Elephas maximus indicus: one gene and its partner. The protein of the gene in region 2 interacts with the protein of the main gene of each other region in a biochemical or structural test. Links are inferred from orthologs where the notes say so. Each region holds a gene or a part of one and is shown on either strand. Other genes may lie near its edges. The genes, in order: SMAD2 and SMURF2.

What was found.
Region 1: the proteins of SMURF2 (region 2) and SMAD2 form a complex in vitro, tested with the Homo sapiens proteins (3 studies listed by BioGRID and IntAct, with this or other methods). The link is inferred for Elephas maximus indicus from reciprocal best matches to the Homo sapiens genes SMURF2 and SMAD2.

What each region holds. Positions count from the first base shown.
Region 1 is NC_064829.1:56,503,996-56,520,038, reverse strand, and holds the start of SMAD2 (mothers against decapentaplegic homolog 2), read left to right. Parts: upstream 1-9,880; 5' UTR 9,881-10,199; intron 10,200-10,528; exon of another isoform or gene 10,529-10,614; intron 10,615-14,931; exon of another isoform or gene 14,932-15,002; intron 15,003-16,043. UniProt on the Homo sapiens protein: Receptor-regulated SMAD (R-SMAD) that is an intracellular signal transducer and transcriptional modulator activated by TGF-beta (transforming growth factor) and activin type 1 receptor kinases.
Region 2 is NC_064837.1:55,838,064-55,854,360, reverse strand, and holds the start of SMURF2 (E3 ubiquitin-protein ligase SMURF2), read left to right. Parts: upstream 1-9,764; 5' UTR 9,765-10,256; coding exon 10,257-10,308; intron 10,309-16,297. UniProt on the Homo sapiens protein: E3 ubiquitin-protein ligase which accepts ubiquitin from an E2 ubiquitin-conjugating enzyme in the form of a thioester and then directly transfers the ubiquitin to targeted substrates.

The DNA of each region.
Region 1 (16,043 bases), on a different chromosome or scaffold from region 2:
CAGACAGAGCTGGAGAAAAATGTAGAACAAAATTCTGACTCAAAAAGAAAGACCAGACTTGCTGGCCTGACACAAACTGGAGAAACCCCGAGAGTATGGCCCCTGGACACCCTTTCAGCTCAGTAATGAGGCCACTCCTGAGGTTCACCCTTCAGCCGAAGATCGAACAGGCCATTGGAACAAAACAAGACTACAGGGATGCACCAGCCCTGGGGCAGTGACTGGAAGGCAGAAGGGAACAGGAAAGCTGGTAATAGGGAACCCAGGTTGAGAGGGGAGAGTGTTGACATGTCGTGGGATTGTTAACCCATGTCATACAACAATGTGTGTACTAACTGTTTAATGAGAAACTAGTTTGTTTTGTAAACCTTCATCTAAAGTTCAATAAAGGAAGGAAAAAAAAAAAAAAAAAAAAGACCTGGTACTATATTTGCTGTGGTAACAATTACTCTATATAGACTCAGTTTATATGTCTTGTCAGATTTTCTGGGCCTCACCATCTCTGGGACCCTCAGCCTCTTTCTCCGTCTCAGCCACCACCATGTATGTCTTACTCAGTTAAGTCCCTTGTGGTCTAATTGCCTGAGACTGACCAGCTACACACTCACAGTTTCCTCTCATCATTTCTGGGCTCCAGGGCATGGGACCTGGCTTTCTGAGTGACTGTCAAAAAATATGGATCACACAATTGCAAAGTGTGGGAAAGTAGCTCCCTGTGGGACAAGCTTTAAACTAACAGAAGATATGAAACATGAAAATAAACTTCCTTCCTTCCTAGCATTATTCCAAGGCAGGATTTCTCCATACTGCCAGTCTGGAGATGTCCTGTGGGGCCAGTTGGTTGCATCTGCCAAGAAACTGGCTGTATCTCTTCAAGGCTTGTCATGAAGCAGTGTTTACAGCAGTAATGTATCACTATGCATCCTTCCCATTCTTCCTTGCCTTTTCTCTCACTATCTCTACTCTGAGATTGTGCCATCTAAATAAAGCATCAGTGCTTAACCCTTGCATCAGGCTCTATTTTCTAGGAAACCGGGCTAAGACACACCCAGATAGTAAAACAGAAGGAAATGAGGAGTTCAGCTTTGACTTACTGAGTTTGAGTAAACTTGCGTGATGATTGTCCATCCATTCAAAAAATATTTACTGAATGCCTCCATGTATGCTTGAGTTAGGGATACTGTGGTGAACAAAACAGACATGTTTCCTGCTCTTGTAGAGCTTATGTTCAGTGGGGCGGGGTGACCAATGATAAAAATACAGAAATAAATGGACAAGATGATTCTAGATAGTGATATAAGTGTTGAAGAAAAAATTTAAAAGATGATGTGGTAAAGTGTAACTGATGTGCATGGGGGGATGCTAATCTAGATTGGGCGGTCAAGGGAACAGAATCTAGAGAACAGGTGGAGGTAACAGCTTTTTTCCAGAAGAAAGAGCAAGTCTTCTAACAGGAAGTGGCTGGAAGGATGGGTCTGGAGACCGATACATTTGTTTACGGTTGAGGGTTTTGGTATGGGGTAGGAAATTTGCCTCTATATTCATTGCGAAATAGTTGGTGAGGACATATGCTTAGAAATAACAGGAACAGGGAGATTGAAGAGAGTGGTAAAGGTTTAAAATACCTGTTTTGGGGTATGGGCCAGGGTGTAGACAAGGGACAGTTAGGAGAGTTAGTGGGCAGTGCCAGAACAGAAAAGGCATTCACTATGTGCATAATCCCTGGCACTAAATGGTCATAGAACTTTGGGAAAGCCTGAGCATTGAATTAGCTTCATGATTATATGAAGGCAAGGAAGAGCCGATATGAAACCTCCCTGTTGCTGTTGTTAGGTGCCGTTGAGTTGGTTCTGACTAATAGCGTCCCTATGTACAATAAAATGAAACACTGCCTGGTCCTGTGACAGCTTCACAATTGCTGCTATGTTTCAGCCCATTGTTCCAGCCACTGTGTCAATCCACCTCATTGAGGGTTTTCCTCTTTTTTGCTGACCCTCTGCTTTACCAAGCATCAAGTCCTTCTCCAGGGACTGGTCCCTCCTGATAACATGTCCAAGGTATGTGAGATGAAGTCTCGCCATCCTCCCTTTTAAGGAGCATTCTGGCTTTACTTCTTCCAAAACAAATTTGTTTGTTCTTCTGGCAGTCCATGATATAATCAATATTCTTCACCAACACCATAATTCAAAGGCACCAATTCTTTAGTCTTCTTATTCATTGTCCAGCTTTTGCATGCATATGAGGTGTTTGAAAATACCATGGCTTGGGTCAGGCACATCTTAGTCCCCAAGGTGACATCTTTGCTTTTTAACATTTTAAAGAGGTCTTTTGCAGAAGATTTGCCCAATGCAATATGTTGTTTGATTTCTTGACTCCTTCAGAAAAGGTGTGCATTGGAATTGTATCCTTCTACCACACTTATTCAACCTGTATGCTAAATAGATAATTCAAGAAGCTGGACTGTATGAAGAATAATGCTGCATCAGGACTGGAGGAAGACTCAATAACAAACTGCAATGTGCAGACGACACAACCTTGATTGCTGAAAGTGAAGAGGATTTGAAGCACTTACTGATGATCAAAGACTACAGCCTCCAGTATGGATTACACCTCAACATAAAGAAAACAAAAGTCCTCACAACTGGACCAATAAGCAACATCATGATAAATGGAGAGTAGACTGAAGTTGTCAAGGATTTCATTTAGATCCACAATCAATGCCCACGAAAGCAGGAGTCAAGAAATGAAACCTCCATGCAGCTATACAATTTACTGCTTGAAACCCACCATTGAAGTCTTTAGGATCCAATAGCAATTGGCTCTTTCCCACCATTAGCATTCTGGCCACTTAGTAGCTAACACAATTCTCATACTCCTTCAGCAAAATGTCTTTTTCAAAGCTAAGGACTGTTTACAGTAAGGACAAACAATTGAGGCTCATTAATTCAATCATTAGGACACTGATTTGTATCTATTGTCTAGTCAGCTGTGTTAAATAAGCTCTTCAGTCTTCATCAGAGCAATTATGCTAATGTGCTTGAAATTTTCTACGAGTTTTATACCTTCATACACTTATCCTGCCTAGAAGCAGCCTGGCTAGTCAATATTGTCATACATAGGCAATTATAATCAAGACAGAAGGCCCTGTTGTTGACATGGGACTGAATTATGCCCCCCTCACAACAGAACTTTAAATGATTTGTATAATATTCTTTCAGGGCTTAGACGTTGGCCACTATTTAGTTTTTTTATCCCAAATGTTTAGATCTCAGATAATACTTAAATGCCTTCCTGGGAGTGCTCATTGTATTGGAATTGACTGTAATTTTCCAAGTAATATTTGAACAATCATTGAATTAGCTATGATCAGTTGTACCTTTAAATGTATAGACAAAAAATGCAAAAATAATTATCAGATGCCTGGAGGATGATGAGAAAAATAACTTGTTGCCAAATACTTTTCTCTCAGCCATAGCCAACTTCTCTCTCAATCTCTTTCTTCAATTCTAAAATGCTTCACCATTATGTCTTGTTTTCCTGCATCTTTGGCCACAGAATGAGGATTTTCCACCATGAACAACAGTGTTTTATGGTAGGTACATAACAGATACCTGATAAATACCTGTTGAGTTTTATTTAACAGTATGTCTTATACATCCTTTAATATCAGTTATTATTTTTTAATAGTTTGAGAGATTTATGTGGTATGTTGCTGTCGTTGGTTCTCTGCACACATCGTTGAGTCAGTTGCAACTCACGGCGACATCACGTGTGCAGAGCACTGCTCCATAGCATTTTCGAGGCTGTGTCCTTTTGGAAGCAGATTGCCAGGCCTGTCTGCCAAGGCACCTCAGGATGGGTTTGAACTGCCAAACTTTCAGATAGCAGTTTAGCCACCCTGGGACCTTCACCTGTTGAATTGCTTTTCTTGTAAATGCCTTATTCTTTTCCCTAGCATTTCCCATCAGATGTTAGATATTTTTTATTTGTAGCAAAAACTAGCATACGAATAAGGCTGTGTGTGTGTATGTGTGTGTGTGTGGAGGCATGTGTGCACACCCTCAACAAAAATTCATTTAAAACATGAAATTTCATTGTATCGAGATAAAAATCCTACTGGCGCTGGATGTCTTCCTTATCATTTACAATAAAAGTAACCCCATACATTTGTTCTTTACAATTTTTACTTAGGTTATCTCATTTAATCAGTGCTCTTAAGGAACTGGGTCTTTCCTTAAGATGTAGTAATTGTCACTGAAACTTAGTTTCACCAGGATGAACAAATACAGAGGTTAGATGTTGACAAGATAGGGCCCAATAGTTTTACTGAAGGCAATTACAAACAGGAAAGATGGGGCCAAGTTGTGCAGGTGCTGGGAGATCCTACTGCAGAGCTATGACATGTAGAGCATTTTTCTGCTATGCAAATGCTATATTTTCACCTTTCTTCAATTCCTTCGTATTTTGGTAAAGATGTGGGAAGACAGCTGAGAGTAAGATGCTTTCCTTGTCCTCTAGGAATTTAGTCTAAATGAGGAGGCAAAACAGGCATACGCAAGAAGTTAAATAATGGCTCAAGACTGAATAGATCAAGGTGTCAATCACAAAAAAGTCACAGTATGTTGTAAAAGGGTAGTAACATCATTAGACCTTACCTAACATTACGGGAGGTGATGAGAATCACCATCAGCACAAAGCCGATTCCCATGAGGTGGAGGTCGGACATGCTTCTACTCTCCAACCTTTTCGTCAATTCTGATACCAGCCATCTTCCCCACAGTGTTCTTCCTCTCTGCTGGGTTCAATAATTTGTTGCAATGGCCATATAGAACTCACAGACTATATTTAAAGTTAAGTGGTTTCTTAAAGAAGTAACAGGGTCCAACTTGGGATCAGGACTAACAGGCTACAACTCAGGATCAGGATCAGGAAGCAGGCAGGCAAAGTCTGCAAGGCTCCCTCAAAGGGGAGAGCACACCCTTCTCTTCTTCAGTGCAGGACCGCTCCCTCGGCTCCCCTCAGCAGTGCAAGCAAGCAGGCCCTTCTCTCTGCCATGCAAGCTCCTTCTCAGCTGTGCAGGCCTCCTCTTAGCCCCCTGAGGACAGGCAAGCTTCTCTGCCTTTGGCCTCTCCACTGCTAACTGATCCAGCTCATAGCCAAGGTAGCGGTTTTGTTCAGCTCTTTTAGCTGCATTGCTAGCAGCAGGTTTCTGCTGTCACCACGGACTCTGCCACAAATCCCGTTCCTAGACTCTGGCTGTCTTCTGTTACAACCCTTGATCTGTGTTGCAGCTCTTTTAGGAGTTTCTGCACCTCTTTTCTTTCTTCTTGCCCTTTCTCCTCTGCTTTCTTCTTTCGGTCTGCAAACCTCTGTGTTATCGACTGCATATATAAGCAAACTTCTGGTCCATTTCAAGGAATGGCTCTCTCACCACGTACATGAACTGACCAATCCCGTCTCAGGAGGCCACAGTCCCTTCATTTGCATAGTAAGCCATAGTCACTCTATTTGCATAAGTATAGTGACCAATCCCTATTTATGCGATCCCTTTCACTCAAGCTGCGTAAAACAGACCAATCATTGGGCAGGCTGCCGCTCAGGGCCAGACAAAGTATCAAACCATCAAGTTGTTTACAGTTTACCCAGGAAATGTCAATCAACGTGGACAAAAGTAACAAATCCTCTGGGGCAGGAAAGTGGGGCAAAGTTAACTCCTCAGGGTTTAGGGGAAAAATCTCTCAGGGTGTTTTTTAAGAGAACTAAGGCAAAAGGCCACATAAAGGAACTCATTGACCACATATGGATATCATTCTGACCAAAGATAGAAAGTTCATAGATGAGTGATATAGCTTTGGGCTGGGGTAGAAAGGAAGGGCTTTACAGATTTACTACAGAAGAGATGGAAGATGTGTCATTCATTTTGAACAGCAACACATGAATATAGTTTTAAAAAATCAAACTACAGAAAAATTAACAATGAAATACCCATGACTCCCAGGCTCTCTTTCTCAAAGCAGCCACCATTACCATTTTTCTTTTGTGTCTGTCTAGTGGATGGCAAAAAAAAAGAAAAAAGTGGATTTAACTACTTTTAAATGGATTCTGAATTGATTTTGATTGATTTTTCAGTGTCACGCATCATGAAGGGTTAAACTTGGGGTCCATCCATATATAAATTAGACTTACTCAGTGTAACTTATACAATAGGAACCTACTGATAGATCTTGAAGTGTCCTAGTGGATTTCCACGCTGATTGTTGCCACAGCAATCCCTGCCCCATCTGCCTTCAATTTCTGTCTTGACCCACTTTGGTTTAGATACTTTTCTAGCAGAGGGACAGTAGGCATGCTCCCATTTGTAAGCCTGTTGGGGACTGCATTGGTAGCCAGATTGCCCCTCCTCCCCTTTCCTCAATCCTACATATCTTGGAAGACTACCTGAGTGGAAGAGTTAGAGACCCAAAGTCCAACACTTTGGAGAGAGGCTTTAACTTAGGCCAAGCATATTACCCACTGAATGAGTGTACCCTCCAGACTGCCCAGCTTCCATACTGAGAGCAGATTCTTCTGGAATCCCGGTCAGCTCTGTTTTTGTTACCACACCTGCTCACCCAGGTGGGCACTCAAATCCACACCCTGGTCACATAGGAGAATGTTTGTGTGATGCAGGACAGCTTTTTATAGGCTGTTTCTTATTAAAACTGTTGATCTGTGCTAGCAGGATGAAGGACCAAAAACCAGAAACAGCCTTTATACTTCTAAGTTGTGTAGCTGGTATTAGTTGTCATTGGACCACCTCCGTTTGACCAAAGGAGCCCTGGTGATCAGTGGTTAAGAGCCTGGCTGCTAACCAAAAGGTTGGCAGTTCAAATCCACTAGCAGCTCCTTGGAAACCCTATGGGGCAGTTCTACTCTGTTCTGTAGGGTCTCTATAAGTCAGAATCAACTAATGGCAACGGGTTTGGGTTTGCCCATGACCATGTTCCCTGGTGGCTCTGGGAAGTGGGAACACAAAGCCAGGAGGTGGAACAGCTCCACCACTTGTCTTCCTGGGTCTCCTTCACACGCTATTTTATAAAAAATGGGTGAGTAAGGCTGCCTCTAAACCAACCATGAAGAAGCCACCCTGAAAGTAAACTTTTTGACGGAACCCCTCCTGCTGAGTAGGCTCATATTTGCATAATGCATACAGGAACAGAAAAGAAATGTTGATTATCGACTTTCTTTTAACTTCAAAGCACTATGCTACTCATTTGCATATTTATTATTCTACTTAATAATCACAAAACTACATTTAAATAGGTATCATTGCAAGTTAGTTCCACTTGCCAAAGATCACGGATGTGGAAGAGCTGCATTCAAAACTACGATTTGCCTAACTCCAGGGTTCATACCCTTCATCACCTTTCAATCAGAAAAGTACTTCCATGCTTTGGGAGAGAGATGGAGATTTTGAGAAGAACTCTGGAAAACCTGTAAGACTCAGACAGAAGGCCAAATATTTCTCAAAGTCCAGCTGAGATTTCCTCCACTTCTGGAAACAGTACACTTTGAGGACTCTGAAATGCTCATTTGGTACTTCTTAATTCGGTATTGCTAGTGATGCTGTCCCACTTGAGTCACTGTGATGGTTAAGATTGTGTGTCAACTTGGCTGGGCCATGGTTCTCAGTGTTTATATGTGATCACCCCCATGATGGGATCTGCTGTGAGTAGCCAATTGGTTGAAAGGGAGTTTCTTCAGGCTTGTGGCCTGTATCTGAATATAAGCGGATGCTCTGGCTTTTGCCTGCTCTGGATCCCACAGCTGGCTCCCGTTTGCCTGACCTCCGATTCTTGGGACTTGAGCTAGCAGCTTACCTGCCAATCCTGGGATTCATGGATCTTCACAACTTGTGAGCAAGAGCCCTGCTCTCCGTCCTGCCGATGTTAGGTTCGCCAGCCCCTGCGGCTACGTGAGTCAGGAGAAGCCTCTATCTTAATTCATGGACTTGGGACATTCCAGCCTCTACAATCTTGTGAGATGTTTCCTTGATATAAATCTCTCTCTGTATGTATTCATATGCTTTACTGGTTTTGCTTCCCTAGAAAACCCAGCCTAAGACAGTCCCCAATTACATTAATGAAGTAGTACATGAGAGAGTGTTGGGCAGGGAGCCAAGAAAACTGTGTCCTAATCTTGTCTCTAAGGAGGCCTGGTGGCACAAACGGTTAGTGGTTGGCTGCTAACTGAAAGGTTAGCGGTTCAAATCTGCTGAATGGTTCTGCTGGAGAAAAGACCTGGATATCTGCTCCAGTAAAGATTACAGCCTAGGAAATCCTTTGGGGAAGTTCTACTCTGTCCCATAGGATCACTATGAGTTGCAACTGACTCCATGGCACCCAAAACAACAGTAGTCTTGTCCTTGCCACAAACTACCTGTGTGAAACCTGAGATTCTTTCCAACTTCAGTTCTCTGGTGCCCCCTGCCTAACGTAAACCAAAAAAACCAAACCCTTTACAGTCGATTCCAACTCATAGGCACCCTATAAGACAGAGTAGAACTGCCCCCATAGGGTTTCCAAGGAGCAGCTGGTGGATTCGAACTGCACCCAAGTTGTCAACCTAACATAGTCGGTGCTTAAAATTTTTTTATGATTAAAAACCCATTTTGGAGTCGATTCTAACACATAGTGACCCCGTAGGACAGAGCAGAACTTCCCCGTTGGGTTTCCAAGGCTGTAGATCTACAGAAAAGTAGACTGCCACATCTTTCTCCCAAGGAGCTGCTGGTGGGTTTGAACTGCTCAGCTTTAAGTTAGCAGGCAAATTCTTAACCAGTGCACTACCAGGGCTCCTCCTTGATGTGATTACCACTACACCGCCAGGGTTCCCTTGAAGTGATTAGTTAGGTTTAATATTCTCGTCAGCATAGGTTTGGGTGTCCCTACGGTAAACGCGGCACGGTTATCCGAGGGCGGTTGCACCCCAGCCTTGGGCAGTCAGCAGCTTAGGGCTCTGCTGCCTTCCCTGGCGCAGATGTGTCAAGTTCAGGCCTGGGAACATACTGGTTGCAAGAAGGCATGCCAAAACTGTGGAGAAATGAAAAACGGAAAATAACCCAATAATTATTAGGCATATTGCCAGGCGCTTATCTTTTTAAACTTCACAACGATGGTTCAGAAATGCATTATTAGCACCACTGTTACTGAAACTGGAAACCAAGATGCAGGTTACACCAAAATACCTGGTATCCCTTTCCCTCACCCTAAATACACAGAGAAAGTACATCCCTCTGGCTCTCGGCTTATTTACATCTCGGACCCCGCCCCCGCCTAGCACCACGAGGGGCCACGCCCACTCATTTGCATACGGGCGCGCCCAGTTGCGGGCGGGTACCGGGCTCTTTCTGTCCCTTGCCCGTCCTATTCTCGGGGCAGCTAGGAGCCTCCCCCAGGCATGAGCACGTGCTCACCCGGCTTAACGACGGAAAGTGGACGAGGCAGCAGCCCCCAAATCGGCCCCACCCAATGGCGCTGGCAGGGACCAAGGAAGGGGCCCAGGAAGCGGCAACGAGAGCCGGTGGTCGCTGGGGATTATTTTCCCAGCGCGGCAGGTTACGTGCCTTCCACTCTTCCCTCCCTTTCCCAGAGTCGCTTCTGGGAGGGTGCCGGAATTGAAATCAGCCGAGACCGCTCGCGTCCAGCCCCTCCTCGGCCTCTGCCGCCAGCCGGCCGCGCCTCGCCTCACGCTCTACGGGGGAGGCGGGACCAATCAGCGCGCGACGTCTCCCTTCCGATTCAAGGCTCCGGACGCTAGGCTCACACCCCGGCCAGCCCGCGCGCTGATTGGCTGCGAGCGCCGCCGGTCCAGCCGGGTGGGCGGGGCGGCCGAAGGGAAAGGGAGGCGGGGAGGTAGTGGCCCGCGACTCTCGGCGCCCCGCTCGCCCCCAGCCCTTCCCTTGGCGCTCGGCCTCCTTCCTTCCCTCCTCCGCTCCCTTCATCTGCTGTGCGCGCGGAGCGCTCTGCTCGGCCGGCGTTCCTCGCGCCCTAACAGGCGGGTGGGGGCGCCAATCAGCGGGCGGCAGGGTGCCAGCCCCGGGGCTGCGCCGGCGAATCGGCGGGGCCCGCGGTGGGAGGCGGGTCTAGCCGCGCGGCCGCGGCGGCGGAGGAGCAGCTCGCCAGCCAGCAGCCAGCGAGCGCCGAGCGGGCCGCCGGGAGGTGGGTGCGCTGCGCCGCTGCGGCCGCGGTGTGAGGGCGGCGGGCGGAAGCGGAGGTGGCCGGTGGGCGCGGCGGGGGAGGGCTTGGCGTCCGGGGCCGGGAGGGGAGGTCCGGGCGCGCGCGCGCGAGGGGAGGAGGGGCGGCGGCGGGACGCGCGCGTCCCCACCCCCTCCTTCTCCGGCGGGCGGTGGCGGCCGGGCCCGCGACCCTCCCCTTGCCCGGCTGCGCGCCGGGAACTGAGCTGGGGGGCGGGGTGGGGCGGGAAGCCGGGCGGCTGGGAGTGTTTTCAGTTCCGCCTCCAATCGACCATTCCCCTCTTCCCCTCCCAGCCCCCTCCATCCCATTCGGAAGAGGAAAGAACAAAAGGTCCCGGACCCCCGGATCTGACGGGGCGGGACCTGGAGCCCCGGTCCAGGTAAAGCCCCCGTGCCCGGCGGCCCTGGGGGTAGGGGTGTGTTTGTGTTTGGCTTGGGTCGGTAAGATTCGCCGTGTCACATGGCCACGGGCCGTTGGGGGTTGGGGTGTGGCGGGGTTGGGGGCAGTGGGTGCGCCGGGCTTTCGGATGGACGAGGATCGAAGGGGCCAGGGGAAGGCCGAAAGGGAAGGGGCCAAACGTGCCAGCGCCGCGTCCTGGAGCTGCGGGCGAGCCTGGTCCGGGGCGCGGGCCGATGTGTCTCTTCTCCTCCGCTGGTAACACACTTGCTAGTTTGTGGTTCTGATTTTTAAAGTCGAAGGGACAGAGCTCTTATTTCAGGAGTTGTTGGAAAGCCGTGTTACGAGTGTGAGATACTTTCTTTGCTTCCAGTTTTTTTGGTCTTGCAACCTTTGTTAACCATAATAGTCTCCGGTTCTGAATTGCTTGTGTGTGCTCACATAAACACGCACACGGCTGCTACTCTGTCGAGATCATTCTTTACTCGGGAAAGTTGCTTCGTGAGTGGAGGCGATTAGTTTTTATCACCCGCCTTGAGAAAGCACGGTAACTTATTTCGTGTATTTAAAACTTGGTTTTCAAAATTGCAACTTTAATGATTTTTTTCTCTTTTGGTGGACTACTGGCCTTGGGTAGTGTACTTTTGTCTGCTGCTTACTTACTCTCAGGTAGTTATGCTTTCCTTTTGATCCCAAACAAAAGAAAAACAATACCTAGGTTGGTTTTGTTATTCCTCCCTCTTGACCCTTTAGAAGCCAAATACTGTTGGTTTGCTGTCAGCAAAACCTTTGTTGAAAAGAATTGCTAGGCAAAACGAATTTGGAAGTAGTATTATCCGTCAAAGTCATGTCTTGTTTGCTACAGTTTGGAGTATATCAGTTTTGGTGTCTTGAACTACATACAGTAAAATGATTATAAGTAAGTGATCACACAAACTTATCTCAGCTTTTCAAAAATGGTCTCTGAAAATTAAGTTAATTTCCAGAATTCTGAATGAGTCTGTATTTCCTTTTCATTTTCTCTCTTCTAATTTCATACGAATTGAACCTGTGCCACTGATAGTAAAGATGTTTTCCTCTAGCCTAATAAGATAATAAATTTGCTGTTATTATGCTGAAAATACATTTGTTCTAGTTTTGACCTCTTTTAACAAAAAGATTCTAACATGGAAGTATAACTCAAATAGTTAGCAAAGCATTTATATTAAATTCAGAAAGTAATACTGATTGTATTTTTAGAGTTTCTCAGTTTTTGTCATAAAGTGTGGTAGATAGTAAATAAAATGTCTTTGGGCATTTCTAAAGTGAGTGCCCACTTTCTGTTAAAATCTGCTATTGAGTTTGAAGGAGTTCATTGGCCATTTTTATTTAGTGTTGGAAACATCTGTTTCTGTATTTTAGTAAAATGTTGCTCTTAGAAGCTTGGTTTTTATACTTTGTAGTACACCTTCTGAAGCAGTGATTTCTCATTGTAGATGTTTAACAAAAGTTTGGTTTTTCAAGGATGTAACTGTGTATCTAGTCATAAGTGGTCAATTTCCTACACAAACTATAAGGTTCATGAAATACTAGTCTTGTAAGAAACTGTGCAGGGTAATTTCCTGTTGTTTGTGGCTTGTCAGCCTTGGTAATATGTTTTAACTCTTAAGTAGGAATTTTGGGGATGATTTTGTGTATTTCCAGCCTTCAACTCAGAAGTTCTCCTTAACAGGAACAAAGGTTGTTTCTACTTCAGGTTGGGGGGGGGTAGGGGGTGGGAGGCTGCCCTTTTCATTGTCATATTGTAAACGTTAGGATTTTGTTGCAGTAATCTCATTACTTCTCACTGGGGGACATAATGTGCACTAGAAACACTCAGTTTAGCTGCATAAACTGATGAATGTTTACATTTTGAAAATATTTTCACTTTTGGCTTTTAGGCCTAAAAGCTTGCTTTCTTCTTGTTGGGTTTTGATTCTGTTGGTTTTGTATTTTAAGACTCCAGAAGCCTCGTTTTGTAGCAGCTTTTTTGTACAGGTGTTTTTGTAATGCATATAAAAGCTGTATTAAGTGCAGTCTGGCAGATGGAAGTTTATTCATATTCTTGGGACAAGAGTCATTTTTAGGGGGTTGAGAGGGGCGTGTCTTTTAGCTTCCTCCTATTTTGATGGGAGTGGAAGAGCCATTTTTAGGCCTTCAGTTTCTGTAAAGGAAAGTGTTTCCCACTAAGTATTGTAAGGGTGGTCAGAAAACTTCAAAGGTAAAGATTTCGGAAACAGTTCAGGAGACGTTATGCATTTATCCAACAGGTAACTTTTATTTATTGAACCAGTAGCATTTATTCATTTATTCAGTGAATAACATGTATTCAACAAATAGCCTTTTTTGCGCGTCAGGCCCTGGGCTAGGCAATGAAGTATTTAGCGGCCAACAGTTAATACCCCTATTCCTTAATGGAATTAGAAAAGTGGAAATTCCTAATGCCCCTTGCCCCACTCCCCAGTATTTAGAATAAGAAAATTATGTTAGTGTACAAATTTAGGGAACGTGTGATAAATTCATGACCGAGCTGGTTCCTGAAGTACGCTCGCATTGCTTTCTACCCAGTGTAGAGGGCAGCACTAGGGAAGATGGGAAGTGTTAATAACTCTTTGTGTCTTTGGAAACAGCCCATGTATTTTGGGGAGAACCTGTTAACATTTTTATACAGTGTATACAAATTGGAGATTAGGCCAATCTTTCAGTAGTGTGTTGCTGAACCGATGGACACTTGCAGAGCTAAGCTGAATTTGGCATTAGTTCATTAGTTTGATTATCCATTGCCCTTTAGGTATAGAGACTGGTTGGGGAAAGGAAGAAAACTTGACTCAGGTCAGACTTAAGCATACGGATCAGGAATAAAGTATAAAGACAATTAGCTAAACTGGAGAATAAGGATTGTCCAGCAATCTCATATAGTGAAAAAGCCATGGATTTTACCATGTTGGGCAGATTGCTTAACTCCTGAGCCTTGGTTTTCTGACTGAAAATGGAGGTAATAACACCTATGTCTTAAGATTAAATGATGATAATTAAAGTATCTAGAACATTGCCTGAGACGTAACGGGTCCTCCCAAATGATCTGTTCTCTTGCTCTGGTCTTGTGGTTTTCAGTCATTTGTGCCCTTTCTAATCCAGATGACTTGCTTCCACCCTTATCTTTGACCTATTATAGAGGAGGCACTAAGCAGAAAAGACTGAGGTAGCCAGATTGTCCAAGTCCATACCTTAAAGCTTCAGTCATGGGAGAACCATTGAGCCCCATTGTCAGAGCCTGTTGGTGTTTATTTAAAATATTTCTAATAAGCCTAGTTACCTGGCTTCTAAACCCATAGTAGATTAGAAACTAGTAGATTGTGGATAGTTTAGGAGGTTAAGAAGGGTTGTGGTGGGGGCTGGTTGGAGGATGGAGAACTGTTAGCCTACTGTCTATTGTAAGAAAAAACAGATAACAGCCTGGCAGGGTAATAGAGATAATCCACAGGACACACAAACAAATATTCAAAGCCTAACTAGCATGCCTGGGGCCATTCAGTGCAGGACCTGACCTGAAAGCATAGTAATGAATGTTCATCAATTAGGTTAACTCATATTTGGGAAAATTTTTTAAGAGTGCAGCAGTCTACATAAAATATCGTAGACTGTCATTGGGATGATTAACAAATGTTCCTCAAGAGATAAAACATTCTGCTATTTTGAATGACTTATTTCACAGAAGATCCACAAAGTACCTACTGTGACCAAGATGTTTCGCATTTGCTTTGCCATTGAAAGAGCCATGATTCCAGACTGAAAAATCTTTTATGCTAGGCCAGTAGTAAAGAAAAGCTATCTAACTGGTGTAGCACCTCATGGCACACCTTTTCTTCAGAGGAAGTCATTCAGTCTTTTTTCAGGCTGGAGTTTATGGAGAACTTCACTTAGGTTTTGCGATACGGAGTGTGCTAGAGATTTCCAGGGCCTACCACTTGTGGAGGAGCCCTGGTAGCTGCTAACCAAAAGGTCAGCGGTTCAAACCCACCAGCTGCTCCATGGGATAAAAGACCTGGTGATCTGCTTCTATAAAGATTACAGCCTTGGAAACTATTAAAAAAAAAAGAAAAAAACCAAACCTGTTGCTGTCAGGTCGATTCCGACTCATAGTGACCCTATCTGACAGAGTAGAACTGCCCCATAGAGTTTTCAAGGAGCGCCTGGTGGAGTCAAACTGCCGACCTTTTGGTTAGCAGCCGTAACACTTAACCACTATCCCACCAGGGTTTCCAGAAGAAAGTTAAAGTGTTGCATTGGCTGGGAATCGAACCCAGGCCTTCCACATGGCAGGTGAGAATTCTGCCACTGAACCACCAATGCTGAATGGCTTGGAAACTATGGGCAGTTCTGATCTGTCCTGTAGGGCTGCTATGAGTGAGACTCAACATGACAGCAATGGGTTTGGTTCTTTTTTCTTTTTTTTTTTTTTTTTAACAGCAAGGGTTTTGGTTTGGTTTTTTAAGCATGTGTGGACCAGTCTGTCCATTGAGGGCTTTTTGTTTTATATACCCAGTGCTGTCGAGTCGATTCTGACTCATAGTGACCCTATAGGACAAAACAGCACTGCTGTGGGGTTCCCAAGGAGCGCTTGATGGATTCGAACTGCAGACCTTTTGGTTAGCAACCATAACTCTTAACCACTGTGCCACCAGGGTTTCCTTTTATATGTGACCATAATGCCTGATACTAACCTTTTTTTGGTTTTTTCTTCCTACTTCTGGGTTACTTTCTAAACCATGTACTTTATTAAATATTTATTGGTGACCTTGTACTGTGTCGCTTTGGCTATTTAAAAAGTAGTAATATTTTTTAGCAGTAGTATAAAAGTAATCCATCCTTTTTTAGATAAAAATGCACAGTTAGAGGCTTACTGCTAGTCACTGATCTGTGTGATAATGTCTCTAGAGTGGCAAAACCGTGATAGTGTATTTAGTTAGGACATAATTCACTGCTGATTCTAGATCTACATGTTGTAGGCAGCTCCCAGCTTCAATTCCAGCAGTTTCTTGTAGGGAAGATGTAATTTTGCCATGCTGGTGGATTGCCTCTAGTTTGGCTAGATAGCCAGAAATATTAGGGTGATTCCATAACTTATGTATTTGCCTTATATTCTAGAGTGGGGGGTGGTTCCTTTTGAGCTTGAAGGGCTCCTCGTATTTGTAACTGAGGCACACTGATAGGACAGATGCTTGACAATTTAGATATATCTTTAGGTTTTGTACTCTTGAGAAAACAAATCCTAAAGTTGGATTCATTCTCATTAAATTTTTCTTGAATTTACTGTGAAATTGTCACTAGTTCTTCCAGGTAGCTCTATAAATCTTCAAAACCCGGAATTAAGTTGGCCTTGGGGCTGCAGAG
Region 2 (16,297 bases):
TAGGGCAGTCATCAGTTGTAGCCAGGCACCATCTAGTTCTTCTGGTCTCAGGATGATGTAGTCACTGGTTCATGTGGCTCTTTCTGTCTCTTGGGCTCGTAATCACCTTGTGTCCTTGGTGTTCTTCATTCTCCTTTGACCCAGGTGGGTTGAGACCAATTGATGCATCTTAGATGACTGCTTGCTAGCGTTTAAGACCCCAGACGCCACTCTTCAAAGTGGGTTGCAGAATGTTTTCTTAATAGATTTTATTATGCCAGTTGACTTCGATGTCCCCTGAAACCGTGGTCCTCAGACTCCTGCCTCTGCTACGCTGGCCTTTGAAGCATTCAGTTTATTCAGGAAACTTCTTTGCTTTTGGTTTAGTCCAATTGTGCTGTCTTTCCCCTGTACCGTGTGCTGTCTTTCCCTTTACCTAAAGTAGTTCTTATCTACTATCTAATTACTGAGTACTCCTCTCCCACCCTCCCCCCCCCATAACCACAAAGAATGTTTTCTTCTCAGTTTAAACTATTTCTCAAGATCTTATAATAGTGGTCTGATACAATATTTGTCCTTTTGCCTCTGACTAATTTCACTCAGCATAATGCCTTCCAGGTTCCTCCATGTTATGAAATGTTTCACAGATCCCTCACTGTTCTTTAACGATGTGTAGTATTCCATTGTGTGAATATACCATAATTTATTTATCCGTTCTTCCGTTGATGGGCACCTTGGTTGCTTCCATCTTTTTGCTATTGTAAACAGTGCTGCAATAAACATGGGTGTGCGTATATCTGTTCGTGTAAAGGCTCTTATTTCTCTAGGATATATTCCAAGGGGTGGGATTGCTGGATCATATGGTAGTTCTATTTCTAGCTTTTTAAGGAAGCGCCAAATCGATTTCCAAAGTGGTTGTACCATTTTACATTCCCACCAGCAGTGTAGAAGTGTTCCAATCTCTCCACAGCCTCTCCAACATTTACTATTTTGTGTTTTTTGGATTAATGCCAGCCTTGTTGGAGTGAGATGAAATCTCATTGTAGTTTTGATCTGCATTTCTCTAATGGCTAATGATCGTCAACATTTCCTCATATATCTGTTAGCTACCTGAATGTCTTCTTTAGTGAAGTGTCTATTCATATCTTTTGCCCATTTTTTAATTGGGCTATTTGTCTTTTTGCAGTTGAGTTTTTGCAGTATTATGTAGATTTTAGAGATCAGGCACTGATCAGAAATGTCATAGCTAAAAACTTTCTCCCAGTCTGTAGGTAGCCTTTTTACTCTTTTGGTGAAGTCTTTGGATGAGCATAAGTGTTTGATTTTTAGGAGCTCCCAGTTATCTGGTTTTTCTTCTGTGTTCTTTATAATGTTTTGTATACTGTTTATGACATGTATTAGGGCTCCTAACGTTGTCCCTATTTTTTCTTCCATGATCTTTATCGTTTTAGATCTTATATTTAGGTCTTTGATCCATTTTGAGTTAGTTTTTGTGCATGGAGTGAGGTATGGGTCTTGTTTCATTTTTTTGCAGATGGATATCCAGTTATGCCAGCACCATTTGTTAAAAAGACTGTCTTTTCCCCACTTAACTGTTTTGGGGCCTTTGTCAAATATCAGCTGCTCATATGTGGATGGATTTATGTCTGGATTCTCAATTCTGTTCCATTGGTCCGTGTATCTGTTGTTGTACCAGTACCAGGCTGTTCTGACTACTGTGGCGTTATAATAGGTTCTAAAATCAGGGAAAGTAAGGCCTCCTACTTTGTTCTTCTTTTTCAGTTATGCCTTATTTATCCGGGGCCTCTTTCCCTTCCATATGAAATTGGTGATTTGTTTCTCTATCTCATTAAAGAATGTCGTTGGGATTTGGATCAGAATTGCATTAAATGTATAGATCGCTTTTGGTAGAATAGACATTTTTATAATGTTAAGTCTTTCTATCCATGAGCAAGGTATGTTCTTCCTCTTATGTAAGTCTCTTTTGGTTTCTTGCAGAAGTGTACTGTAGTTTTCTTTGTATAAATCTTTTACATCTCCGGTAAGATTTATTCCTAAGTATTTTATCTTCTTGGGGGTACTGTAAATGGTATTGATTTGGTGATTTCCTGTTCGATGTTCTTTTTGTTGGTGTAGAGGAATCCAACTGATTTTTGTATGTTTATCTTGTATCCCGGTGCTCTGCCGAACTCTTCTATTAGTTTCAGTAGTTTTCTGGAGGATTCCTTAGGGTTTTCTGTGTATAAGATCATGTCATCTGCAAATAGAGATACTTTTACTTCTTCCTTGCCGATCTGGATGCCCTTTATTTCTTTATCTAGCCTAATTGCTCTGGCTAGGACTTCCAGCACAATGCTGAATAAGAGCGGTGATAAAGGGCATCATTGTCTGGTTCCCGATCTCAGTGGGACTGTTTTCAGGCTCTCTCCATTTAGGGTGATGTTGGCTGTTGGCTTTGTATAAATGCCCTTTATTATGTTGAGAAATTTTCCTTCTATTCCTAATTTGCTGAGAGTTTTTATCGTGAATGAGTGTTGAACTATGTCAAATGCCTTTTCTGCATCAATTGATAAAATCATGTGATTCTTGTCTTTCGTTTTATTTATGTGGTGGGTTACATTAATTGTTTTTCTAATGTTGAACCATCCCTGCATACCTGGTATGAATCCCACTTGGTCATGGTGAATTATTTTTTGATATGTTGTTGAATTCTATGGGCTAGAATTTTGTTGAGGATTTTTACATCTACATTCATGAGGAATATAGGTCTATAATTTTCTTTTCTTGTGGTGTCTTTACCTGGTTTTGGTATCAGGGATATGGTGGCTTCATAGAATGAATTTGGTAGTATTCCATCCTTTTCTATGCTCTGAAATACCTTTAGTTCTCAAAATGACTTTTAAACCTGATTGCATATTGTTGATATTGTATAAGATTCCTAACCCCTGCCCACCCTGATTCATTTTCTTCTTTGTTCTTACTGCATTCTTCCTACCAGTTTGGTGGTTTCTGCATATTTTCGTTATACTGTACCTTAAAAATGCCTCAGAGGGGGTGTAAAAGTGGCGTGGGGGCAGTGTCTAACCTTTTCTGACTTCACAAGCAGGGAAGAGAATCAAGATCAACAGCCCAAGGCTGATCCCTATGAGGCAGAGGTCAGATAGGCCTCCTCTTTGCACCACCTTTACCAATTCTGACACCAGCAGTCCCTCCCAGAGCACTCTCTGCTTCATTGCTGGGTTTGATTATTCATTGCAATGGCCACACAGAATTCAGACAATATTCATGATTATGGAGTTTGTTATGAAAGTAACAGATTACAGTCCAGGCTCGGGAACACTTAGGGGACAGTTCTTCCATTAGGACAGCCTCTTCTTAGCTGTGCCCACATGCAGGCCTCTCTCTGGGCCCTTGGCCTGTGCCCTGCTACAAAAGTTCATTTAGCTCTGCCAATAAGTGCCCAAAGGCACCCTACTCTTCTAGTAAACCTCAGCCTGAAGGTGCTCAGCTGTAGCTCCTTGGGTCAGCAAACCTCACTCCACCAAGTGCCTGGAGGCTACCCTACTCTGCCAGCAAGCCTCCTACCCAAAGGTACTCAGCTTTCTTGCTCCATGGGCGGGGAACCCCACCATGCCGTCTCCTGCTGCCACCATTTCTCTGCCACAGATTCTTGCTGTCTTCAGTGGTACAGCCTTTTCTCTCTGTCTCCTGGTTCCAGGAGCTTCTCAGCGCTGGAATCCCGGGTCCAAAGGATGTGCTCTGCTCTTGGCTGTTCCCTTTTGATGATGGTGGCATCTTCTCTTTCCCACCTTTGGGATGGCTTATTTCAAGCCAAGCGGGATGCAAAGCTGACCAGTGCCCTTGGTGGGCCACAATTACTTTACTTACGTAGTCCCACCCAATCACTTGCAGGGGGGGCGGTTAAAAGACTATGGTGAGAAAGGCCACATGAAAGTGATCCATCACACCGTAGGGGGGAAATGTATAAATATTTTTTAAGGCTTCTGACATATGGCCCAAAATCTAAGAAATCTGGTCTTGGACCAGCTGAGGCCACTGAATTGGGAGAGGTATTCAGAATGACTCTCCAATTAGTGTTACTGCATTTTATTTTGTCATTTATTTTACCTCATTTTAAACCTTTAGTTACTTAGTTTTTTTTAATTTTATTTTAATTAGATGTTTAAAATCAATGTCAAATGATATTTAACATGGTAAGGAAAAGAATAATAAAATGAACGTACATATACCCAGCTTAAGAAAAAGACCATTACCAGTATTTTGAATGGTTTTAAAGTATTATTTTTGCTGAATCTTTAAAAAAAAAAGAATGTAAATTTATAATTTAATATGCAGAGGAAACCTGAGTCTTTGTCTGTACTTTACACATGTAAACATTTTTCTCGCTTACATGTTTGAGTACTGCTTTAAACTTCATAATAGGCAAAGTGTCTTCCACCTCCCCCAACACTTTCTGAAGTCCTAACTTCTGTTATCTAATGCAAAGCTGCAAATTATGTTAGCGAGTGGTTGGGAACAAAGCATGTGATCTACGAATAAGGAAAATGTGTATGTATTCAGCAGTTTGCTAAATTTTATTGCAATTATCCAGCTTCATAAATTGTGATAGTTATTGTTCAAATCAATTCATCTTCAGGTCCAAAGGACCTTGTTTATTGCTTTGCACACAGTAGGTGCTCGATATTTGTTGAATGAATTTCTAGCACTGTCCCTCATATTTCTAGTCTGACATCACTTTAATTGTAGGGATATATTAGGCTGATGGGAGTCCCAGGGTGGTACGAACTATTAACCTTGCTGAACAAAAGTTTGGAGATTGGAGTCCACCCAGAGGTACCTCAGAAGAAAGGCCTGGTGATCTGCTTCCAAAAAATCAGCTATTGAAAACTCTATGGCGCATACATGGAGTTGCCCTGAGTCAGAATCAACTCCATGGCAACTGGTTTGGTTATCAGATTAATAAGAGGCTCTTGGAGGTAACTTCATCTGGAGAATAAAGTGACTTAACTGGTGAATAAAAGAAATGACTGATGGGGAATTAGGATTAAAATATATTAGACTTTATTAAATCTTTAAAAGAAGGGCATTCCCTTGCTGCCATGGCAGCCAGGGCGACATTACCGCTGTTGGTGATGTCATTTCCAGCACACCAGTCCTCATATACAGGTTCCAGCCCTCAGGAGTGGTTGGAGGCTGTCTTTGGTATGCAGGAAATCTGAATGGTGAGTGAGGCCTAGGAGACACTGGAGAGGACTCCCTGGTTCCTTTGAGAACATTTGTCTCTGTGCATTCCGGAATGAAGTTGGGACCAGCTGCACCCAGGGCATAAGTGGCTATGTTGCTATCCCACTTGGACCCGGATGAAAACGCCTCATGGATGATAACGAGAATAAGCGGTAGAATTTTGAGATCACTGACTGGCATCTCCAGAATGAGTTTAGTCCCAGCTGGCAGCGCCTCTGGCAGACCAAGGAAGAGGCCACCTACAGGGTGTAGGCAGAGCGCGACTTGGGTGATGAGAGGCCTAGTTTTGGAGGCATACGGGATCACGACTATGCGCCAGTCAATTTCTTCAGAGCTGGCTCAAGAAAGGGGCCGCAGAAGAGGCGGAGTTGAAGATTCTGATGACCAAGAGAAACCTGTTAAGCAGGATGACTTTCCTAAGGATTTTTCAGACTAAGGAATTGAAAAACCAGTAGCAATTTAAAACCCAGCCAGAAAAGTTTTGCAGGAAGAATCAAGTCTTTCATGGCCTTTGGCAGCTGAGGAAGACACACGAAAGAAATTGGACAGAAGCTTCTTCAAAAGGTGGGGTGTGTTCCTGGAAGTGGCCTCAAGAAGAATGCACAAGGTATAATCAACCCATTCGAAGCCAAACAGAGAAAGGGGAAAAGGAGCTGTAGGGGTGTACAGCTCGGAGCGAACCATTCAGTCCCTGCAAGACTTCCCCGTGGTTGACTCAGGCGAGGAAACCGAATAGCAGTTTCAGAAGGAACTGAGCCAGTGGAGGAAAGTCTCCAGCGGAAGCAAGAAGCCCAAATACTCTTACAAGACAGGGGAAGAGCTGGAGGCCAAGGGCAGGATTAGTAAGAAGCTCACCAAGAAGGTCAAAGTTGTATAGGTGACAGGCCAGGAGCAGGTCTACCATAGCTACTGTCACATCAGCCACAAGCACAGCGTCCCTGATGGCAGGTTGCTGCTGCAGTCACGACAGCTGCCACCGCCTGGCAAAGAGGCCAAGCCCCCAGGCTTTTCATTTTCTGAGCTGGAGCCAGGGGTGGATTATCCAATAGGCAAGGTAAGTATGGTGCTTACCTTGCTTACCAGATCATCTCTAGTGAACAATTTCACATTTTTTTTGCCACGTCAAAGATTCTGCTTCTAGATATGGCTGGCATCTGTCTCTCTCCCAACCCCACAGTATCTTCTTACAAAATCAAATTCTCTTTTCAAATTTGCAGTCTCTGACAGGGATGGATTACCCAGTGAGCAAGGTAAACACGGGTTTACTTGTGCTTGCTTACTAATCTGTAATGAGTAATTTCACATGTGTTCACAAACCCATGTGAAATAGTTTACTCCACATTAGTAAGTAAGCACAAGTAAGCCCATGCTTACTTTACTTACCGCGTAATCTCCTCCTGGCTAGAGCACAACCTGCAGCTGCTCATTGACCTCAAGGAGCAGGGGATCAGCCAGAATGACTGGCAGCTGAAGTATGAGTGGGACATGGTGGTCAACCTCTCCCAAGAGCTGGAGAAGATGTCCGAGGTCCTGGACCCTGAGGAGAAGGTCACCTCCAGCCTCAACAAGGTCCTGGAGATGGTAGAGGAGTGTGAGTGGCAGATGCAGCCCAACTGCAGCAACCTTCTCACCCTGTATTATTGTGTCTGCATCTTTGAAACCCTCCAGAAAAAGTACTATGAGGAGTAATTACAGGATGTCTGATTGAGTGGAGCTTACTGTGGCCATTGTCTATACACTCATGAAGGAGTACTCCAAGGAGTGGGATCCCCTTTGAGACTGTACATATGGCACCAAAATAATTTCCAAGTGTAAAAGCTTTATAAAGAATGACCAGCTCTTGTCCCGTAGAGGGCAGGACCTCTTGGCAGATGCCTTCACAGGCTGATATGGGAAGTTTGGATGCCTTTTGTTTGAAATATTGTCACCTGGTAGCAACCAAGGAACTGTGACTCAGTGGTGGACTTTTTGGATAGCTGGGTGCACATTATTCCTGTGTGGATTTAGATAACATACTGGACAAGGCTGTCTTCCCCGAGCTTCAGAAGGAGGTGGAAAATTGGAACCCACTGACTGACACTATACCCATCCATTTTTGGATCCATCCATGGCTTCCCCTCATGCAGGTGTGGCTGGAGCCACTGTATCCCCTCATCCGCAGCAAGCTGTCCAGTGCCCTGCAGAAGTGGTATGCCAGGGCATCCTCTGCTAAGCTCACCCTCCGGCCCTGGAAAGATATCTTCACTCCTGATTCCTGGGAAGCATTCATGGTCAAGAACATCGTATACAAGCTGGGGATGTGTCTTGGTGAGCTCGTCCTTAACTGCCATCAGCAGTACATGGAGGCCTTTTATTGGATGATTGACTGTGAAGGGATGATCTCTGTCTCCAGCCGTAGGGCTTCTTGAAAACAGCTTCTCCCCAAGTGGCATCAGGTGCTATGCTCCTGGCTCAGTAACAGCCCAAATTATGAGATCACCAAGTGGTACCAGGGTTGGAAATCTGTGTTCTCAGACCAAGTGCTGGCACGTCCATCCATTAAGGACACATTTAGTGAAACACTTGATATCATGAACAGGGCAGTATCCTCCAATGTTGGTGCCTACATTCAGCCCAGAGCTAGGGAAAACATTGCCTATCTCACCCACGTGGAGCAGAGGAAGGACTTCCAGTATGAGGACATGGTCCAGAGGGACATCAGCATGGCTGCCAGCTCAATGCCCATGAACTCTAAGGACCTCATTCAGACCAAGGCCAAGGAGCACATGCCTGTCATCGGGAAGTGACATGAAGCTCTACACCTTTGGCTGAATCATGTTCTACATCCATCAGGGAGTGGTGTTCCTTCAGGGTGAGAAGACCTGGGTGGCCTCCTCCCTGCAGAGCCTTGACTGACATAGCTAAATAGACTGCCATGGGTCTGGAGCAGGCCTAAGAGGGACGTTCAAAAATGTTTCGTAAAATAAAAAATATTTTAAATTACAAAAAAATTTAAAATTGCATTAGAAGTACTACAGCCTTAAATGAAATGAACAAAGCACACAAAAAATTCCCGACACTGTCATCCTTATCACTCGTTTTCATTATGCATAGGAGTCCCTGGGTGGTACTAACAGTTAACAGAAAGGTCAGATGTTTCAGTGCACCCAGAGGCGCCTTGGAAGTGAAGTCCTGGCGATCTACTTCCAAAAAATCAGCCATTGTGAAAACCCTATGGAGCATAGTTCTACTTTGACACACATGGGGTCACCATGAGTCAGAATCGCTGGAAGGCAACTGTTTTTTTTTTTTTTTCCCATTGTGCAAAGAGACTTTTGCAGGTATATCCATATCCATTGTTGTTGAGTTGATTCTGACTCATAGCGACTATATAGGACAGCGTAGGACTGCCTCATAGGGTTTCCAAGGCTGTAAATCTTTATGGGAGCAGATTGCCAGGTCATTTCTCCAGAGGAGTGGCTGTTGGGTTTGAACCTCTGACCTTTCGGTTAGTAGCCAAGTGCTGAACCACTGCACCACCAGGACTCTTCTGCAGGTATACACACAACATTTTATTCTGCTTTTAAACTTTGCACTAAATGTGAACTCTTCCATGTTACATGCTCTTCACAACTGCCATTTTCAATAGCTGCATGGAAGTCCATCCCGTTGATGTAATATAATTCATTATTAGACTCTTCCCTCATCCACCTTCTTTTTCAAACAACTTTTCGAAGAACATCTTTTGTACATAGTGTTATTTCCTTATTCCAAATTATGTGTCAAGAATAAATTACTAGGAATGCACCTGCGGGGTCAAAGGGTAAGGTACACTTATTTTTATTTTTCTCCTAAGGCAACGAAATATAGTACTGTACGAAAAGCTTTTTATATATTGCTCTTTAAGGTTTATCTTGTTAACATCCCCTTAAGACACTATCATTCTCCTACTCTCGCGCTATAACCGAAAAAAAGCCCGAGCAGGCAGGTAACCTGATCTCATCCACCAGGTGAGTTCTGGATGGAGGTGGCAACAATACTAGGAGCAAAGCTCCCCTGGGAATTTTCTGGAACCTTCGGTGTGGTGATAGTGCCTCTTCCCTCTGCTCAGCGACGCTAAATTCCCAGAGCGAAGTGGACTCGGTTCTACTTGCTCACCCCAGTCCCTCAGAGAGCCCTACACGCAGTGGGCGTCTAATAAATGGTCCCGAGTAGACAAAAGCTCTCCCTTAAGTGGCCAGGACATTAAGTTTCTTCCTGGTGCCACAGAGCTGCCGCCACCGACTTCTTTTTTCCTTTGCCCGCTCCCTCAAGTTCTGTGTGCGACCCTCCGCTGCCCGCCCAAAGGTAAAGAGCGTGCGCACCTCAGCGCGCCACTCCCTGCGGCTCTCGTCCCGGCCGCGCCCGGGCCCCACGCCCCCACGGCCCGGGCACCCCGCTCGGCCGGCCCCGCCCCCTGCTCGGCCCCGCCAGGCCCCGCCCCGCCCCGCCGGCCCCGCCTCCCGCCTCCTCCCCGCCCCCCGGAGACGACGAGTGGCGGCGGCGGCGGCCCCAGGACCCGGTTCCCTCAGACAAGAGGGCGGGTAGAAGAGGAAGCGGCCGAGCCCTGAGCCTTGCTCCGGCGCCGCCGCGGAGCGCCGCCCGCTTCAGCCGACCAGCCCTGTCGGGTCGTGGCCCTCGCCGAGCCGAGCGGAGGGAAAGGCGCGAGGCGGCTGTGCGGAGGCGGCAGAGGCGCGGGCGGAGGCGGCGCGGCCGGCCGCGGCTGCCGCTTTGTTGTGCGGCCCGGGCCGAGGAAGGAGAAGTGGGAGGAGGGGGGAGCTCGGCGTCCCGCTCCCTCCGCGGCTCATGGCGACGACGCTCGGCACATCCGGGACCCTCCGGCCGCGGCGGCCGCGGCGCCGGCTGCTCGGGCCCCAGCCCCGGACGCTGTGGTGACTCCGCCGCGCCTCGCCGTCGCCCCCGCCCCGCCCGCCCGCCGGCCCGGGCCCCGCGTCTGCAGCCGGAGCCCCGCCGCCGCCCCCGCCGCCGGGGACATGTCTAACCCGGGAGGCCGGAGGAACGGGCCGGTCAAGCTGCGCCTGACAGGTGAGGGGGGGACGGGCGGCGGGACCCCGGCCGGGGCGGCCGCGGGGTGGGCGAGCCGGCGGGGGGTGCCTGTGGCCTTGGGAAGGGCCAGGGTCGCGATCAGTGGTGAGTTGGGGGTCGGGGCCGTGGGAGGGCCTAGTGCGGGGAGAGTCACTGGAGACCACTCGCTCTGGTTTGTCAATCTCTGCAACAGCCGAGGGAGACTCGGGGGCCTTTTGTTGAGGGGAGGGGCAGATCGGCTGAATTCCATGCGAAGTTGAGGTCGCGGAGTCTTGGCCGAGGAGCCCGGCGCTCGCCCTGGGCCTCGGGAAGCAGCCCTGGGCGGGTGCCCAGGTGGGGTCGTTGGAGGGATGAGTAGCCCGGGTGCCGGGGATTATTGAATCCGGTTGCTGACTGCGCGCAGTAAACACCCCTTAACGATGGAGCGCTAACGGGAGTGTGTGTGTGTGTGTTGTGTGTGTGTGTTGTGTGTGTGTGTGTGTTCGTTCCTTGGTTGTTCACTTGCACACCCACGTATGCCCGCGTGCGAAAGCTTTCCTCTCTGCTGCCAGCCAGAGCCGCGGGTGCCACACACCTTAAATGAACGTCTTCGGGAGGGAAGCCGACTGAGGTTGACTTTTCCGGTGTGGCTGCCTGATCCGCCGACTCGGGCTCATTGTACACTCTGTGTTTTGGAAGTGTTTGATTGTAGGTTAGCTTGTCTGGGGGTTGTTCCTTGTAGGCCGCAAAACTTGGGTCTCACTTCTAACTCTAGACCTGCTTTAAAATACTTTTTGGAGGGGGTAAATTTCTAAGTACGTGATCGTACCAACTTTCAAGAGAACTTTCACACCCTCTGCCCTTTCGCCTTTTTCTAAAGATTGCTAGTGGAAAAGCATGTCCGGAGGGCTTGCTTGATAGAAGAATACTCTTAACAAAAAGTGTTTACGATTCCCGGTGCTTTAAAACTTTAGCATTGCAGGTACATTGAGCTTCCAGTGCCGTTTTTTGGCATTCTTACATGTTAACCTATTTTAAGGACGAAATAGTTTTGGTTTGGAAAAACGTAAGTGAAATCAGTGTAGTTATCCTAGTTTCACCATTAATAAATTATTCACGTTTATATTCGGATGTGTGGTGAGAAAGGTGGTTTTTCTTACAGGGTGTGTGTGTGTAAGAATAAACTGTAGTTATGTTTGCCTGCGTTAGAGTTTGGGATTTATATGGACTAATTTTGTAGTTGAATACTTGTGTGTCACATCCCAGTCCACTGGCTGAACTTTCTTGATAAAAACTTGCAGTGACTTTGGTATTTGAGAATTTAGTTTGGATGTAGGTTGGCTACAATTTAAAAAATATGTTACTTTCACGACAGTTTTACTTTCCCTAGGGAAAATTGTGAAGAATCATTAACTGAGTGGTTCTTAATGGAAAACCTGGATTGGGGGATGCCGTTCTCCCTGCCTCCCCCTCCTCCCACTCAGTTTCCTTATTTTCTTAGGAGTCAATGGAAACCTTTATAAGGGATCTTTGTTGCTTTAGAGTTTATCTACTGCTGTTCCTCTTCTGGAGTCTGGCCGGTGTCTGTGATCCTGGAAAGAACCTGTGACTCCAGGTGTGCAGAAGGCGTCAGAAATAGGCTGTGGCCGTTAGCTTCCCTTTAGGCTGTATCCAAACTGAAACAGTGAGGGAGGAGATGGTTTTTATTTTCTGCAGATAAAATGATTTTGAGATTTTTAGCAACTCAATAGATGTTGAAATGTTTGTGGTTTCCATACTGTATAAAATAAATATTACAAAAATTCATGAATAAAATTTGTTAGAAGAAAAGATTACACTTTTTGTTTTGAAGGGGGAGGCAGGAGTATTGGACTAAATTTGTGGAGATTTTGTATTTTAAGATTTTTCTGAGGAATTTTAAATAACTTGTGTCATTGATTATTCCTTTCGTTTGTAAAAATATTTTATGGTACTCCCAATTTCTTAAAATCATTGGGACTATATCTCTGAATAGCTTGCTCTTAAAATTCGGCGATTAAAAAAAAAAAAAAATTGTCCTCCCTTTTGTTCCGTATGGTCAATTCTCTTCTGTTTTGCCAGGAAAATTAACATATTTTTTCATGTTTGTTTATCATTTACAAATTAGATGGTATAGATTTTAACAAATAGACCTCAAGAGCTGGATTCAGTTAGCAGCTTTTTAGGACATAAACATTAAAGGGTTAGATGGAAAAGATTGTTTTGACTGACTGGATAAATGACAGGGCTGTGTTTGATGTGCATCCAGGAATTGGTCTGGAGCTGGTGCCCAACTTCTCAGTCCATCTTGAGAAGCCAAATAAAATATTTAACCTAGGCCTTGTTTTGTTTAAAAAAAAAAAAAAAATTGGTTCTTTGTTAAGATCTTAAGAAATGTTTGGCATACTTTTAGACTAAGTGTTTAATAGTTCATTTAGATGTGAGTTCCATAATAGAAGAAAAATCACTTCAAAAAAGTCAGATTGCACTGTAAATTTTTATGTGGTTTACAACATACTTGGACTATAAGATGCTTTAAAATTATTCATCTTTGCTTTATTTAAGTTAGTACTATACTAATATTTTAAGTTTATAGAGTGCCTTTGATTTCAAGATGCTTTATGAACTGTAGCTGACTCAATTATATTTTTAACGTAGAGTTGCCCTTTTAATGAAAGGTGTAAACAGTTCCTTCATGGTGAGGCAGACGCACGCGCGAACTGAAAGATGAAATATTTGAGCCATGGGATCTCTGCCCACACTGGATATTAGATTTTTCCACATGCTATTCCTAAGACCACAACCGACTAGTGAACTATTTGGTATTTGTTGAAGGCAGGACTAATTTGACCCCAAATTTGTGGTTCCTCAGGCCTTTGGTAATTAAAATCTGGCCTGTTCCATCAAGCTATTTCTGTTTTTTTGGTGACGCATTAACACTTGATTATTAAAATGGGCTGTATGGTAAAGCTGTTAACTTCAATTAGTGTTTCTAGAGAAAACTGATTATAAAATGTAAAATTCAAATATATCCGATAAAAGCTTTTCTTACATTGGTTTGGATAGGAAATAATAATATTTGTACGTGATCATTGTTTATGAAAATCTGAAGGCTGGAAAAAGCATTTTAGTTAAATTTCTAACATTTTATAATTCTTAGATATGGAGAAATAACAGATTACTTCTCCAGAACATTTATTGCAGACCTTCTTGAAATTTCAATGTTTTTCTGTTCTGCGCCTCATGTTATTGTAAAATCTTGGCAGTAATGAGGTTAACCTTGTATGTAGCTAAATGAACAGTAATTAAAAAATATCCGTTTAGATATTCTAGTATCATAATATTGTTTCATTCCATATTTTAATCATTCAAAGTTTTAAAAATTGATTTTGTCTCACAAGCTTCTAGGTCGAAGTGTGTCTGTACACCGCAGTGACTTACTCTAAGGCTGTTAGTGATTTGAATGTTCCCAGTTTGTTTTACTTTCTTGTTTTCTGAGAAGAAGCCAACGTGGCTTAGGTCCTTCCTTTTCTCTTAAGTTATCTCTTCTAGTCTGACCCTCTTCAGACTGGCAGTAGAACTTGCTTACATGCTTCATGTAGTTTGGCTTTCATTGATTAGTAAAGTGTGTGCGTTTAATCATGAATTCTGTTTTTCCCTTGTTGGTTGAGGTATTACTGTCACAACGTACATACTAGCATCTTGTTTATTTAGGTATGCTAGCATATATCTAAGAAGCTCTGGTGGTGCAGTGGTTAAACACTCAGCTGCTGACCAAAAGGCTGGCGGTTTGAACCCCCTCACTGGCTCCCTGGGAGAAAGATCACGCAGTCTGTTCCCAAAAAGATTAAACCCACTGGGTCAATTTGGACTCATAGCAACCCTATAGAACAGAATAGAACTGTCCCATAGGGCTTCCAAGGCAGTCCTCTTTATGGAAGCAGACTGCCACATCTCTCTTCTTTGGAACAGCTGGTGAGTTGAACCGCTGACCGTTTGATTAGCAGCAGAGTGTATTAACCACAGCACCACCAGGGCTCCTTCCTGTAAAGATTACAGCCTAGGAAATCCTATGGGACATAGTTCTCTTTTGCACACATGGGGTCACCATGAGTTGGTATCAACTGAATTGTAACTAACAACAACAGTATACATCTAGCATATAATTTAGCATATTTAACATATAATTCAATTTTCAAGGTAAATGAAGGGCCCCACTTTAGGCACACAAGATGATTATGCATGCTTTTGATGAGAGTCTTTTAAAGATGTAATATGTCCTACTCTTTTCAAATAGACCATACTTAACAGTGTTTTGTTTATGATTCAGTATCATTATAGATATAAATTATTGTGCTGTTGTAACATGTAGTATGAGGATATCATCATGGCCTGTAGAGAGAACTCTTTAACCCTGCATATATATGGTAATAAGGTTCCTGGGTGGCGTAGATGGTTGCCATTAGCTGCTAACCTAAAGATTGGGGATTTGAAGCCACCCAGCGGCCTCGTGGAAGAAAGGCCTGGCAAACTGTTTCCATAAAGGTTGTTGTTGTAGTGTGCTGTTGAGTAGATCCTGGCTCATAGCGACCCATAGGACAGAGCAGAACTGCCCCATAGATTTTCCTAGGCTGTAATCTTTATGGAAGCAGGTTGATTTCTAGATCTTTTCTCCTGTGGAGCTGCTGGAGGGTTTGAAACTCCCAACGATTTGGTTAGCAGTGAGCGCTTAACCATTGTGCCACTAGGGCTCCATAAAGATTACAGCCAAGAAAACCCTATGGAGCAATTCTACTCTGTAACACATAGGGTCGCCATGAGTCAGAATCTATTTGATGACAGTGGGTTTGGTTTTTTGGTTTATATGGTAATAGGTGGTTTAACTTTTTTTTGCTGGTTTTTCTCTCTGCCACCGTTTTTCTTTACTGTTACTTTCCCTGCTCTAAGAATGCTATACCCTTGAAATAAACAGTTGTAATCAGCTATGTTATGTGTTTCCATATGAATACTTATTAACTGCCAGGCACCGTATTAAGTTTACATTTAGTATCACTCTTAGTTTTCACCACAGCTCTGTGAGGTAAGGGAAACAGACTTGGACAGGTTAAGTACATGTCTGTTTAGACAGCCTGTTACAAGCCCATTAGAATTTGTGTGGAAAAAATAAGATGAAATAAATTCTGTTCACTTGGAATTACTCCTGCTTCTTGAAATCCTTACTCATCTTTATAGACTCAACTCAAGGATTATTCTTACCCCTAGAACTTTCCCTGACCTGAGTTGATCTCTTTGTGGCTGTACAAGGCTCTTGTGTAGAGCTAACTCACTGAAGGACGTTTACCCCTAGAACTTTTTCTCATTTTAAAATTTATTTCCTAATAAATTACCTACAAATAATTGCTGTGAACATCTTGGTGAAGATTAACTTTTTTAAAGGCTATTTCTGTAGCAGTAGTGCTATTGGATAAAAGGGTGTGGATTTTTTTTAAGTCTGTTGATGCGTTTTCTCCCCAGGTTGCTTCCTAAAAGGATTGTGTCTCTTTAAAGCAGCAGAGAATAGGTGTCCCTTTTTACTGTTCTAGTATCAGCATTGGCTATTTAAAAATTTTTTTTTGCTAATTTCATGGATATAAAGTTTTTATATAGTATTTAAAAATTTATTCGTGAAGGTGAGTATTTTCCTGTGTGTTTACTAATTCTGTATATATATATGTATTTTTCTCTTGTTGATTTGTAACCTGTTAGAGCCTTACTGTTTTCCTTATTGAGCTGCCTGAGATTTAAAAAGGTATTAACCTGTTGTCATATTTGCTATACATATTTTCCTGGTCTGTTATTGCTTTTTAATTTTGACCATTTTTGAACGTGCAGAAATTTGTTATTTTAGAAGTCAAAACTGTCCAGTTTTTCTTTTCCTTTTCTTATTTTATACTTAGGAAGGCCTTCTTCAAGAGGCTTGATAAATAATTTATTTTAAAGTGGTTTAAAAAGA